Drosophila melanogaster: one gene and its partner. Changing the gene in region 1 together with any one later gene gives a genetic interaction. Each region holds a gene or a part of one and is shown on either strand. Other genes may lie near its edges.

Region 1 (3,808 bases):
AAAAGAAAAGTAAAGTGAGTTCAAAAGAGTAGGAGGATACTTAAAAATTTGGGTTTGTATGACCAAAGACACTAGAATATTCTAGTATGACAAAGATATACATATGTATGCATGATTAGACATATATTCACATTCATACATATTATTATTGACTTGTAAAGTGCAGTAAATATAGAGATTTTTTCAAGTACACGGAATCTCTCTTAAATTTTCTCTTTCATTGATCCCAAGTTTTGTATATTATATTAGTTATTCGGCAGTTATGGGTTAGTTTGAAAAGAGACCCCACAGCGACAAGATGGTGAAATTGACTTTATACGGTTTGGACCCCAGTCCCCCAGTTCGCGCTGTTAAGCTTACTTTGGCCGCTCTAAACCTAACCTACGAATATGTAAACGTTGACATTGTGGCTCGTGCCCAACTTTCACCGGAATATCTGGAGAAGAATCCACAGCATACGGTGCCCACCCTGGAGGATGACGGTCACTACATCTGGGATTCGCATGCCATTATTGCCTATTTGGTCTCGAAATATGCCGATTCCGATGCCCTATACCCGAAAGATCCTCTCAAGCGGGCTGTTGTGGATCAGCGGCTGCACTTTGAATCCGGAGTGGTCTTTGCCAATGGCATAAGGAGCATATCGAAGTCAGTGCTCTTCCAGGGACAGACGAAAGTACCCAAGGAGCGATACGATGCCATTATCGAGATCTACGATTTTGTGGAAACTTTTCTCAAGGGACAGGATTACATTGCTGGCAATCAACTGACCATTGCGGATTTCAGTCTCGTTTCATCGGTGGCCTCCCTTGAGGCCTTCGTGGCCTTGGATACGACTAAGTATCCCAGGATCGGTGCTTGGATCAAAAAGCTGGAACAGCTTCCATACTACGAGGAAGCCAATGGCAAGGGCGTCCGCCAGTTGGTGGCCATTTTCAAGAAGACCAATTTCACATTCGAAGCATGATATTATTTTACAGTTTATATAGTCACAATAAATAATTGCTTAGAAAACTCTAGAGCTTTTGAATTTTTGTGGTGAAATAATTGATTTGGACACAAATGAATAGAAGAGGCGAGAGCAAAAACCTAACTGACTTTCTTATCTACTGCTCTCGCTTCTCTTAATTACTCTCTTTCGAAATTCTATAAATATAGTGACTCTTCGCTGTTGACGTTTAGTAATAGACGAGACTCTACCCAGCGACAAGATGCCCAAATTGATACTGTACGGCTTGGAGGCAAGTCCACCAGTTCGTGCCGTCAAATTGACCTTGGCTGCCCTGGAGGTTCCCTACGAATTCGTGGAGGTAAACACTCGGGCCAAGGAAAACTTCTCTGAGGAGTTTCTGAAGAAGAATCCACAGCACACGGTGCCCACGTTGGAGGACGATGGACATTATATCTGGGACTCACATGCCATTATTGCCTATCTGGTGTCCAAATACGGCAAAACGGACAGTCTCTATCCGAAAGATCTCCTCCAGCGTGCTGTCGTGGATCAGCGATTGCATTTCGAGTCCGGAGTGATCTTCGCTAATGCACTGAGAAGCATTACCAAGCCACTTTTCGCCGGTAAGCAAACGATGATTCCCAAGGAGCGTTACGATGCGATTATTGAGGTCTATGACTTCCTGGAGAAATTCCTTGCTGGAAATGACTACGTCGCCGGCAATCAGCTTACGATTGCCGACTTTAGTATCATATCAACTGTGTCCTCGTTGGAGGTCTTCGTAAAGGTGGACACGACCAAATATCCTCGGATAGCTGCATGGTTCAAGAGACTCCAAAAGCTGCCCTACTACGAGGAGGCCAACGGCAATGGTGCTCGTACATTTGAGTCCTTCATCAGAGAGTATAATTTCACTTTCGCATCGAATTAAATCATCTATACATGCTGCTAATATATATTAAACACTTTATAAATAAAATAATCGTACAGTACAAAAAATAAACAAATAGAAAATATACATATAAAAATACTAAAGAGCACCTCGCCAGGTTTTTGTCAACTCTCTTGCGAAAATGTGTCTCTTTAACGTTCTCTTTCCAAATCAAATAAATATGGCGCCTCTTTGGCTTCTACTTTTAGTACTAGGCTCAACCTCTAGACGGCATGTCCAAGCTGATTTTGTACGGGACAGAGGCTAGTCCTCCAGTTCGGGCCGCCAAATTGACCTTGGCCGCCCTTGGCATTCCCTACGAATACGTCAAAATAAACACCCTGGCCAAGGAGACCCTTTCGCCCGAGTTCTTGCGGAAGAATCCCCAGCATACGGTGCCCACTTTAGAGGACGATGGCCATTTCATCTGGGACTCACACGCAATCAGCGCATATCTGGTGTCCAAGTATGGCCAGAGTGATACTCTTTATCCGAAAGATCTCCTCCAACGCGCTGTGGTGGACCAGCGATTGCACTTCGAGTCCGGCGTGGTCTTTGTCAACGGACTGAGAGGCATCACCAAGCCGCTCTTTGCGACCGGTCAGACGACGATTCCCAAGGAGCGTTACGATGCCGTCATAGAGATTTACGACTTTGTAGAGACTTTTCTCACCGGACACGATTTCATTGCCGGTGATCAGTTGACCATCGCGGATTTTAGCCTAATCACATCGATTACCGCACTGGCGGTATTCGTGGTCATCGATACAGTAAAATACGCCAATATAACTGCGTGGATCAAGAGGATTGAGGAACTACCCTATTACGAGGAGGCATGTGGCAAAGGTGCCCGGGATTTGGTGACCCTCCTCAAGAAATTCAATTTTACCTTCTCAACTTAATAATTTATTCTTAGTATATAATTGTAATAATAATGTTTAATAATTGTATAAAACATTATTAAGACTATTCTTCAAATATTGTTATCTTATGATTTTTATTTTATGATAATAGACAGTTTTAAAAATCGCCACCTGATTCGGTTGTAAGAAGACAAATTAAACAGGTCAAGTGGAAGAATTTTCCATCACATTTCAAACAAATATGATAAGACAAACCAAAACACTTAACACCTCATGGAGTGGCTCAGTCGAACTCGTCCATGGAGATTACCTAATCGATCCTACAAGCAAAGATAGCTTTGCTGAAAATGCTGATAATAGATAGGTGTTTTGTCTTCAAGAACACAGAATCCCTCTAAAAATGGCATATTCAAATAAATATTATGCCAATCAGAAGGAACGCTAATTATCTCGAACGACAAGAGTGAGTCAGCATGGAATACGCAAGTAGCGTATATAAATTGAAATAAAATGAGCTGTAAGTTCATCCGATCGATAATTGCGATAGTCGGAGCTGGTTTAGTTTCAAGTCAACAGCCAAGGCGAGCGGACACCTGAAGCGATGGGAAAATTAGTACTGTACGGCGTAGAGGCTAGTCCGCCGGTGCGAGCATGCAAACTGACCCTCGACGCCCTGGGCCTTCAGTATGAGTATAGGCTGGTGAACCTGCTGGCCGGTGAGCACAAGACGAAGGAGTTCAGCCTGAAGAATCCGCAGCACACGGTACCCGTGCTGGAGGACGATGGCAAGTTCATCTGGGAGAGTCACGCCATTTGCGCTTATCTGGTTAGACGCTATGCCAAGAGTGATGACCTGTATCCCAAGGATTACTTCAAACGCGCACTCGTTGATCAGCGCCTGCACTTTGAGTCGGGTGTGTTATTCCAGGGCTGCATCCGGAACATAGCCATTCCGTTGTTCTACAAGAACATAACTGAGGTGCCGCGTTCCCAGATTGATGCCATCTACGAGGCCTATGACTTTCTGGAAGCGTTCATCGGTAATCAGGCTTACCTCTGCGG
Region 2 (7,695 bases), on another chromosome or scaffold:
TCGCGATTTGGTCGGACCCAAAGTGGATCTAAAGATGGTGGAGGAGGGCCCCATCTGCCGGCTGGATCATGCTTAATACCTTAAAAAATCAATAGGACCTGCGATCAAATTGCATTTTTTTTCACACATGAATGTTCCAAAACATATTTATAAATAAAAGTTCCGCCACAGAAACTGGGTCTATATTGATAAGGGAAATATAACATTTGGCGAACCATTTTTGTATTTTCCCTCCAAACAGCTGTTGTTCAGGGTTGTCAAGTGCAGCCGATTTATGCTATCTGCATTTTAGGTTATTGTTTGAGGGAAGCATATCGGGTTTATAAAATTCGGAAAATTTTTAAAGAAACTGCTTAGAGTGAGAATCCTAAAATATGTGAGAATAATAAAAACATGTTTGACAATCAGTCAATCAGTTGAAACTATTTGACAACTTTGCCACAAAACAACGTCAAACGAGCGAAGAAAACAACAAAGGAGAGACGCAAAAAAGAAGAAAGAAAAAAAAAAATAAACAAATTCGTCATCGTCGCTGGAGTTTGGGCCTTGAAAAATGGCAAGCAATCCGAAGAAGTCCCTCCACCAGGCGATCCAGGCCGAGTTTGGTCTCCAGCCCACCAGCGATTTGTCCAAATTGAGCAGTATAAGTGGCACGAGCCCAGAAGCGATGCCAAAATTCACAATTCCGCAGCTCAAAATTCCACAGCTTAGAATTCCACAATTGCAGCTGCAGACGAATGCGGATGCCGCTGCCGAGCAGGAATACCGCCGAGAGGCGGAGGCACACAATCAAATGCTACTCAATGAGATCCAGTTGAGGCAACGGCAGCGATCGGAGGGCGAAAACAAGCCGCAATCAATGGGATTTGTGTTACCCCAACTGGTCGCGATGCCCAAGGAGCCCCTGAACATACCCCTGCTGACAAGGTTGGAGAGCGGCATGAAGAAGCTGGATATAGGCGATGGGACAAAGGTGAATACAGCCACGTCAGCACCCCCACTCATTGACCTCACGTCCACGATTATCGCCAGGCATAAAGGCGCACCGCCCAAGGAGCTGGCCAGCAAGGCGCGCCAGTTGACCAATTGTGAGCCTTTTGCCATACCCTTCATTGCCTGCGATCGCGGAAGAAGGAGCACGACCGGTGTAACTCTCTTGGCCAGCAAAAGATCCATCAACTACGACGAGGACGTGCTGGCCGATCGGTCACCAGCGAATAGCGACTACCGGGAGCAACCGGGACCCATTGGGCTCATGCTGGACGAAATGGTGGGCTATCCGGAGCCGAGAAAGCCCCGTCTAGTGTACGCCGTCACTCCGCTGGAACGGCAGCACCTGCGAATGTGCCAGTATAAGGATTACGGCATCCAGGTGAAGAGATTCCGCTTTGATACTCCCTCGCCGGATGAGCTCGTCAAGCAGGCGCTGCAGAAGTCCTGGCGCTTCTCCCGCACTTGACTCCAGTTCATCCTGGTAGTTGACAATTACCAATAAGTGAATAAAAACAAAAAATCCACTACGTTCAAAAATAAAAGCTGTCTGACTTGATTCTTGCAGGGAGTTGATATCACCCATCGATTTAGTAACTAATTAGTTGGCCATCCAATCCCATTCTTTTGTGGCGCAAATATATTTGCGAACAAGTATATTTATGATTTTAGTATTAAAATATGTAACAATATTTATGTTGTTTATATGAATTTATCAAAACGATCATTAGAATGTTTTCACGCCTTATTTTATTTTGAGCCGTGGCGTCGAAGCTTATTCGCGTTTCAGCCAACGGTCACACTACACAGTCGGTCACACTATTGTTGGGCAGCAAGTCTGGGCACACTGCAACTTTGCGAATAGCAAAATCGCGAAACGCAAAAAATTATATTACTCCCATAAAGCACAATTCGAACGTAAAGTGAACTACTAACGTATAGAAAATAAACACAAAGAGCATAACATAAGAACAAACAACAAGGAGGCGTTTAAATATTTATCAAAATAAGTTCTCTGTTCTTGTTGTGCCTCTGTGTGTTTGTGTCTGTGCGCTCGTTTAACTGTGTGTGTGCTCCTTGCGTGTCGGTGTGCGGTGCCTGTGCTTTGGTGTGCGTGTGCGTATAGCTGTCACTTTCTGGCGCGCACACAAGATATATACACACAGAAATTTGAAGAAGCGGTGCCCACCACACGGCCCCCTCCCCGTTCCAGACAACCATCAACGCCACCAGCACCACCACCACCACCCCCTCCTGTTGGCGCGGCTCGGCTCGGCTCGGCTGGATGTGTGCGCCCGGTTCCGGTGCCTTTTGGTTACCGTTCCCGTGCATCTGGACCTGGAAGCAGTGTGTGCGTGCGAGTGAGCGGGCACGATAGAAGTTGAAAGAGCAGGCGAAAGGAGCAAGAGCAGGACGACAGAGGAGCTCGAGTTGCCGGTACCGTTACAGGTAATATTTATATGTGCGAGACACTCGGCGCAAGTGTGTGTGTGTTAGGTGGGGGTTGAAGATACGGATACAGATACATGGATACATTCCAAAGCGGCTGTATGTGCACTTTTCGCTGTTTCCCCAATGCACATTTAATTACTTATTTATTTTTGCGTTTAACTCGATCGTACCCCTCTTGCCGGCGACGCTCATGTTTTTTGTTGTTGTTATTTTCGGTAATTTATTGCCCCGCCTTCGATAAGATGGAAAATTCCAAACTGCCCACAGATTAGGCGTGTGTACATACATACAGAAATATACACACATTCTGGTTCTGTTTCTGTTTTCTGTGGCTGCTGTAACTCAACGAAAGCAAAAAAAAAGCGTCTGCAAACGCAGACATTTGACCTTGTTGGAGACAATAACAACAAGAATAGCAATAACAACGGTAGTGAAAATAGCAAGAACAGCAACAACCCACGCAGACGATTGCATTTGCGATTGTCGTTTTGGAAATGGAAAATCTAAATTGAATCTTTCTTTAGAAATCTGAATGTGAATCTAAGGCAAAAGTTAATAGATTACCCATATACACACGCTCGGGCAATTATCACAATAACATCGTCATCAGGGTCGAGCTTTTATCAGATCCAGCCGCTCACGCACACACATGCAAGCCAATTATCAGGTTTTAATTGCCAAAGCACGCACAACTAAACCCATTCCACTATTCCAGATCAGAAGTGCACAAGGGAAGCAGCAGCAGCATTAGGACTGTTCCAGTTCCACTTCCCAGTCCCGTTCCAGTATTCCAGAGAAGGTGATCGAAATAAAACTAAAACTAAAACTCGACCAACGCCAGCAGTGAGAGCAGTATTCAAAAGGCAACGCAGAGTTGGAGGAGGAGGAGCTAGTGGACGCGGAGGACACCAGGAAAGCCCAGGAGAACTCCCCCCCCCTGAGACCCTGAGATGTTGCCATTCACCCCGCAGGTGGTCAAGCGTTTGTTAGCACTCAAAAAGGGCAACGAGGACAACAGCGTCGAGGGCAAGTGGTCAGAGAAGGCCGTCAAGAATCTGGTCAAGAAGATCAAGAAGAATTCGCAGCTGGAGGAGCTAGAGCGCGCGATCTCCACACAGAACTGCCAGACGCGGTGCGTGACGGTGCCGCGCAGCAAGCCAGCTCCCGCCGGCGAGCATCTGCGCAAGGGTCTGCCGCACGTCATCTATTGCCGCCTGTGGCGCTGGCCCGATCTCCAGAGTCAGAATGAACTAAAGCCCCTCGATCATTGCGAGTACGCCTTCCATTTGCGCAAGGAGGAGATCTGCATAAATCCGTACCACTACAAAAAAATTGAACTGTCCATCCTGGTGCCCAAATCGCTGCCCACGCCGCCCGACTCCATTGTGGACTATCCGCTGGACAACCATACGCACCAGATACCCAACAACACCGATTACAATGCGGCGATCATTCGCAGCGCCTCGTTGAGTCCGCCGCAGTACATGGAATTGGGCGGTGCCGGGCCCGTTTCCGTATCATCGTCTGCCAGTTCGACGCCAGCGACTGCCGCCGGTGGTGGTGGTGGTCCCTCCTCGTCGTCGTCGTCGTCATCGTCCGCCGCCTCCGCCTATCAACAGCAACAGCAGCAGCTGTCCTTTGGCCAAAACATGGACTCTCAATCGAGTGTGCTTAGTGTGGGCAGCAGCATTCCCAACACCGGCACCCCGCCGCCCGGCTATATGAGCGAGGATGGTGACCCCATCGATCCTAACGACAACATGAACATGTCGCGTCTAACGCCGCCCGCCGATGCAGCGCCGGTGATGTACCACGAGCCGGCCTTTTGGTGTTCCATCTCCTACTATGAGCTAAATACGCGTGTCGGCGAGACGTTCCATGCCTCGCAGCCCTCGATCACGGTGGATGGCTTTACCGATCCCTCCAATTCGGAGCGCTTTTGCCTCGGACTGCTGTCTAATGTGAATCGCAACGAGGTCGTGGAGCAGACACGTCGCCACATCGGCAAGGGCGTACGGCTTTACTATATTGGCGGTGAGGTATTCGCAGAATGTCTGAGCGATTCGTCCATTTTCGTACAGAGCCCAAATTGTAATCAGCGATATGGCTGGCATCCGGCCACCGTATGCAAGATACCGCCCGGTTGCAACCTAAAGATCTTCAACAACCAGGAGTTTGCCGCCCTGCTGTCGCAGTCCGTGTCGCAGGGATTCGAAGCGGTCTACCAATTGACACGCATGTGCACCATCCGCATGTCGTTCGTCAAGGGCTGGGGCGCCGAATATCGCCGCCAGACGGTGACCTCAACGCCCTGCTGGATCGAACTCCATCTGAACGGGCCGCTCCAGTGGCTGGATCGCGTGCTCACACAGATGGGTTCGCCACGGCTGCCGTGCAGCTCCATGTCATAAGCGCACGGCCGGTTCCGGTTTTCAATCTTCCCCCTCCCCCAATTTTCCGCACAGAAAGCGCCGGAGTTTAAGGCCCATTTTTGGGTTTGAAAGAAGATCCACAGAAATCCCAGTAAACGGCTCTGACAAGTAACACTGACGATGAATGGATACTATCCTCAAGAATTTGCGGTAGTCAATATCGTTTATTATCGATTTTTATTCACATTCGAGAGAAATTTCAATGGTTATTAAGATGAAATTGGTATGCAATCAATGTGCTTTTGTTCGGCTTTGTAGTGATGTAGTTTAAATACCCTCTGTCAGGGTATAAAATTTAATTATGTCACTAGCTCTAGAAAAAGTACATTTCACTTGCCGAAAGCTGTACAAATTGATGTTGAAAAAAACTACTTGAATCCTTGATGTAACAAGAACTTCCGCATCATCCAAAAATACTATATACAGCTCTATTCATGTTGAATATGACCCGAGATTCATCAGTGTTACTAGTCAGCAGCTCCGCGGGATATCAAAATGAGAATCGGAATTGGTTTCAAAGAGAAAACCAAGAAAAATTCTGAGAGCACATATGAAATAAGTTCAGGCAAATTATATACGAGTACATAAATGAGTAATTGAAAAACAAATGGTAGATGCAAACCAGATGCAGATATATCTATATACAAAGAGCACACACTTACATGTGGGATATATATCTTTACAAGCATATATGAGAGAGAACATGTATTTGGCGTTACAAGTTTAGGACTATATATTGTGTAGGTGGAAACGTGGAGAGAGTTACAGTTTTCGATAAGAAGCAACAATTTTTTTAAACATTTTACATACAAAAAAAAAAAAAAAAAAAGAAAACCAAAAGCACATGAGGAAATAACCGAAATGGAACCGACCAGGAACACAAAAAAACCAAAAGATACCCCGAATCTGTGTGCGTAAAGTTGGTAGCGCTAGAAGCGAGAGAGTCAAAATTCTTTGAGAAAGAAGCAAAACAATTAAATTGGTGATTTGGAACAAAAATGAATGAGCAAAACAGGAACTGGGATTTATCAAGCTTGAAGCTTACACACACAGACACACTACCATACATTGCAAATGTACATAAGACCAAAATAATGAAATTATTCACGCAGGACCTCCACTTGATCGAGTATGGGATTATAGATATATCCGTTTGAAGATGGTTGTTAAACGTTTCGATTTTCGCTTAGTACGTGTGTGTTAAAAAATTCGTAAACTCTTAAAGCGCAGTCAGCTCTTGTTAGTCGTAATATCCGTAAAATGCGATCATATATCCTATGTGTAAAGCACTTGCCCAACAAAATTTGAATGCCGCAAGCCAGGTCTGGCCCATCTAAGGTGCCATTTTGTTCAGAACTGCATTTATTGTGTACCAAATGAGAGATTCTTGATTCTTTTACAGCATCGTATTTGAAACGATAGCTTAACCAACCAATATGCAATATGGTTTGCCGTTGCTGGCCGGATTTTGCTTGGCAAGTGCACGTTTTTCTTGGGTCTAGATCTTAAGTCTATATATGTAACAAAATTCGCTAGCTTATCTTAACGTTTAAAGAGCCCAAATCCAGTTTAAGTTCAAGTTCAAATTGTTTTTACGTCAATATTTGCTGATTCTTTTAATTCTTTTGTTTTTTTTTGCCCATTGCTTCGCTGTTACGACCAAAAATAACTGTACCGCCTGGCCAGTGTTGGGCAGTGAATGGTGCGTGGCGGGCAGTGTTGCCTAGCGCACTTGTCCTCTGGTTCCGGCGAAACTTTAATTTAAGTTTTGTCTATTGTTTGCCCCCTTTGTTGCTTTTAAGTTTCTCACGTGTGCAGTTTAGTGCTAAGACACTTAGTCCTGATTGTCAATCAATCGAATAAACGACCGCGAACGAGATTGTGTTTTGTTAATTGGCTCTAATCACTGTTTTTAATCAAACAATTGTTTTCGTATTTCCGGCTAAGCCCGCAAATAATGTAATGTAATCCTTAAGTTATGCCTAAACGAAACAAAGCAATGCAGGCGAACATGCAACAGCAACAGTCAACAGTCCTCCGAGGACACAACCACAGAGAACCAGCAACCCCGTACCCGTAACTTTATAAAGTATAAATACAAATATATACATATATCTAATATGCAAGCATGCAGATAAAGACAAACAGAATCGTATATATAAATAAACACTTATATTGAATGGAAAGCGCAGACCAAGCCCCCTTCCGGGGGGCAGCTTAGGGTGGGGCGAGTCTCGGATTCGCCTGGAATTCGATTCGAATGGACAGGGAAATCGTACCGTATACTAACATAATCAAAGTGCTCTCGAGCTGTCAACGCTCGTGCACCTTGAGGTGTTGCTTATGATTGGATTTGCGCAGAAATCGTGCTGGACAGAGTGGACAGGCAAATGGTCGCTGCTGGGTGTGGGCAATCTGGTGGTGCTTCAGCTCCGAGGCACTAAAGAATCTCTTGCCGCACTCCGGCTGTGGGCATGGGAAGTCGCGCTGATTGTAGTGCCGCTTCAGGTGGATGCTAAGATAGCACTGATCCGTTAGGACCCGGCTGCAAACCGGGCAGGTGAAGCTGAGCGCAGATGTATCCCGTTGCTCTTGCTCCGCCAGCGGATGTTCGGGATCCGGATCCGTTTGTGCCGCATGCCTTAGCTTTGTGTGAATGCGCCGCGCGTGGATGGAATGAAAGGAGAGATGACAGTCGGTGGCCAAACATGGATATGGTTTCTCTCCCGTATGCAAGCGTCGATGGACAGTTAGGTAGTTGGCATACCGGAAACCCTTGCCGCAGATATCACATTTGTGTGGCCGCTCCGCCGTGTGGGTC

Evidence for each region.
Region 2: of GstE8 (region 1) and Smox, changing one suppresses a phenotype caused by changing the other (phenotypic suppression), as found in Drosophila melanogaster (one study listed by BioGRID).

What each region holds. Positions count from the first base shown.
Region 1 is NT_033778.4:18,405,744-18,409,551, forward strand, and holds GstE8 (glutathione S transferase E8), read left to right. Parts: upstream 1-2,090; 5' UTR 2,091-2,116; coding exon 2,117-2,785; 3' UTR 2,786-3,212; downstream 3,213-3,808. Other genes in the region: GstE6 (glutathione S transferase E6), read left to right, coding at 299-967; GstE7 (glutathione S transferase E7), read left to right, coding at 1,212-1,883; GstE9 (glutathione S transferase E9), read left to right, coding at 3,348-3,808.
Region 2 is NC_004354.4:8,136,380-8,144,074, reverse strand, and holds Smox (smad on X), read left to right. Parts: upstream 1-1,795; 5' UTR 1,796-2,439; intron 2,440-3,157; 5' UTR 3,158-3,392; coding exon 3,393-4,853; 3' UTR 4,854-7,034; downstream 7,035-7,695. Other genes in the region: alpha-PheRS (Phenylalanyl-tRNA synthetase, alpha-subunit), read left to right, coding at 1-76; CG17982 (uncharacterized protein), read left to right, coding at 554-1,459; CG2120 (uncharacterized protein), read right to left, coding at 7,188-7,695.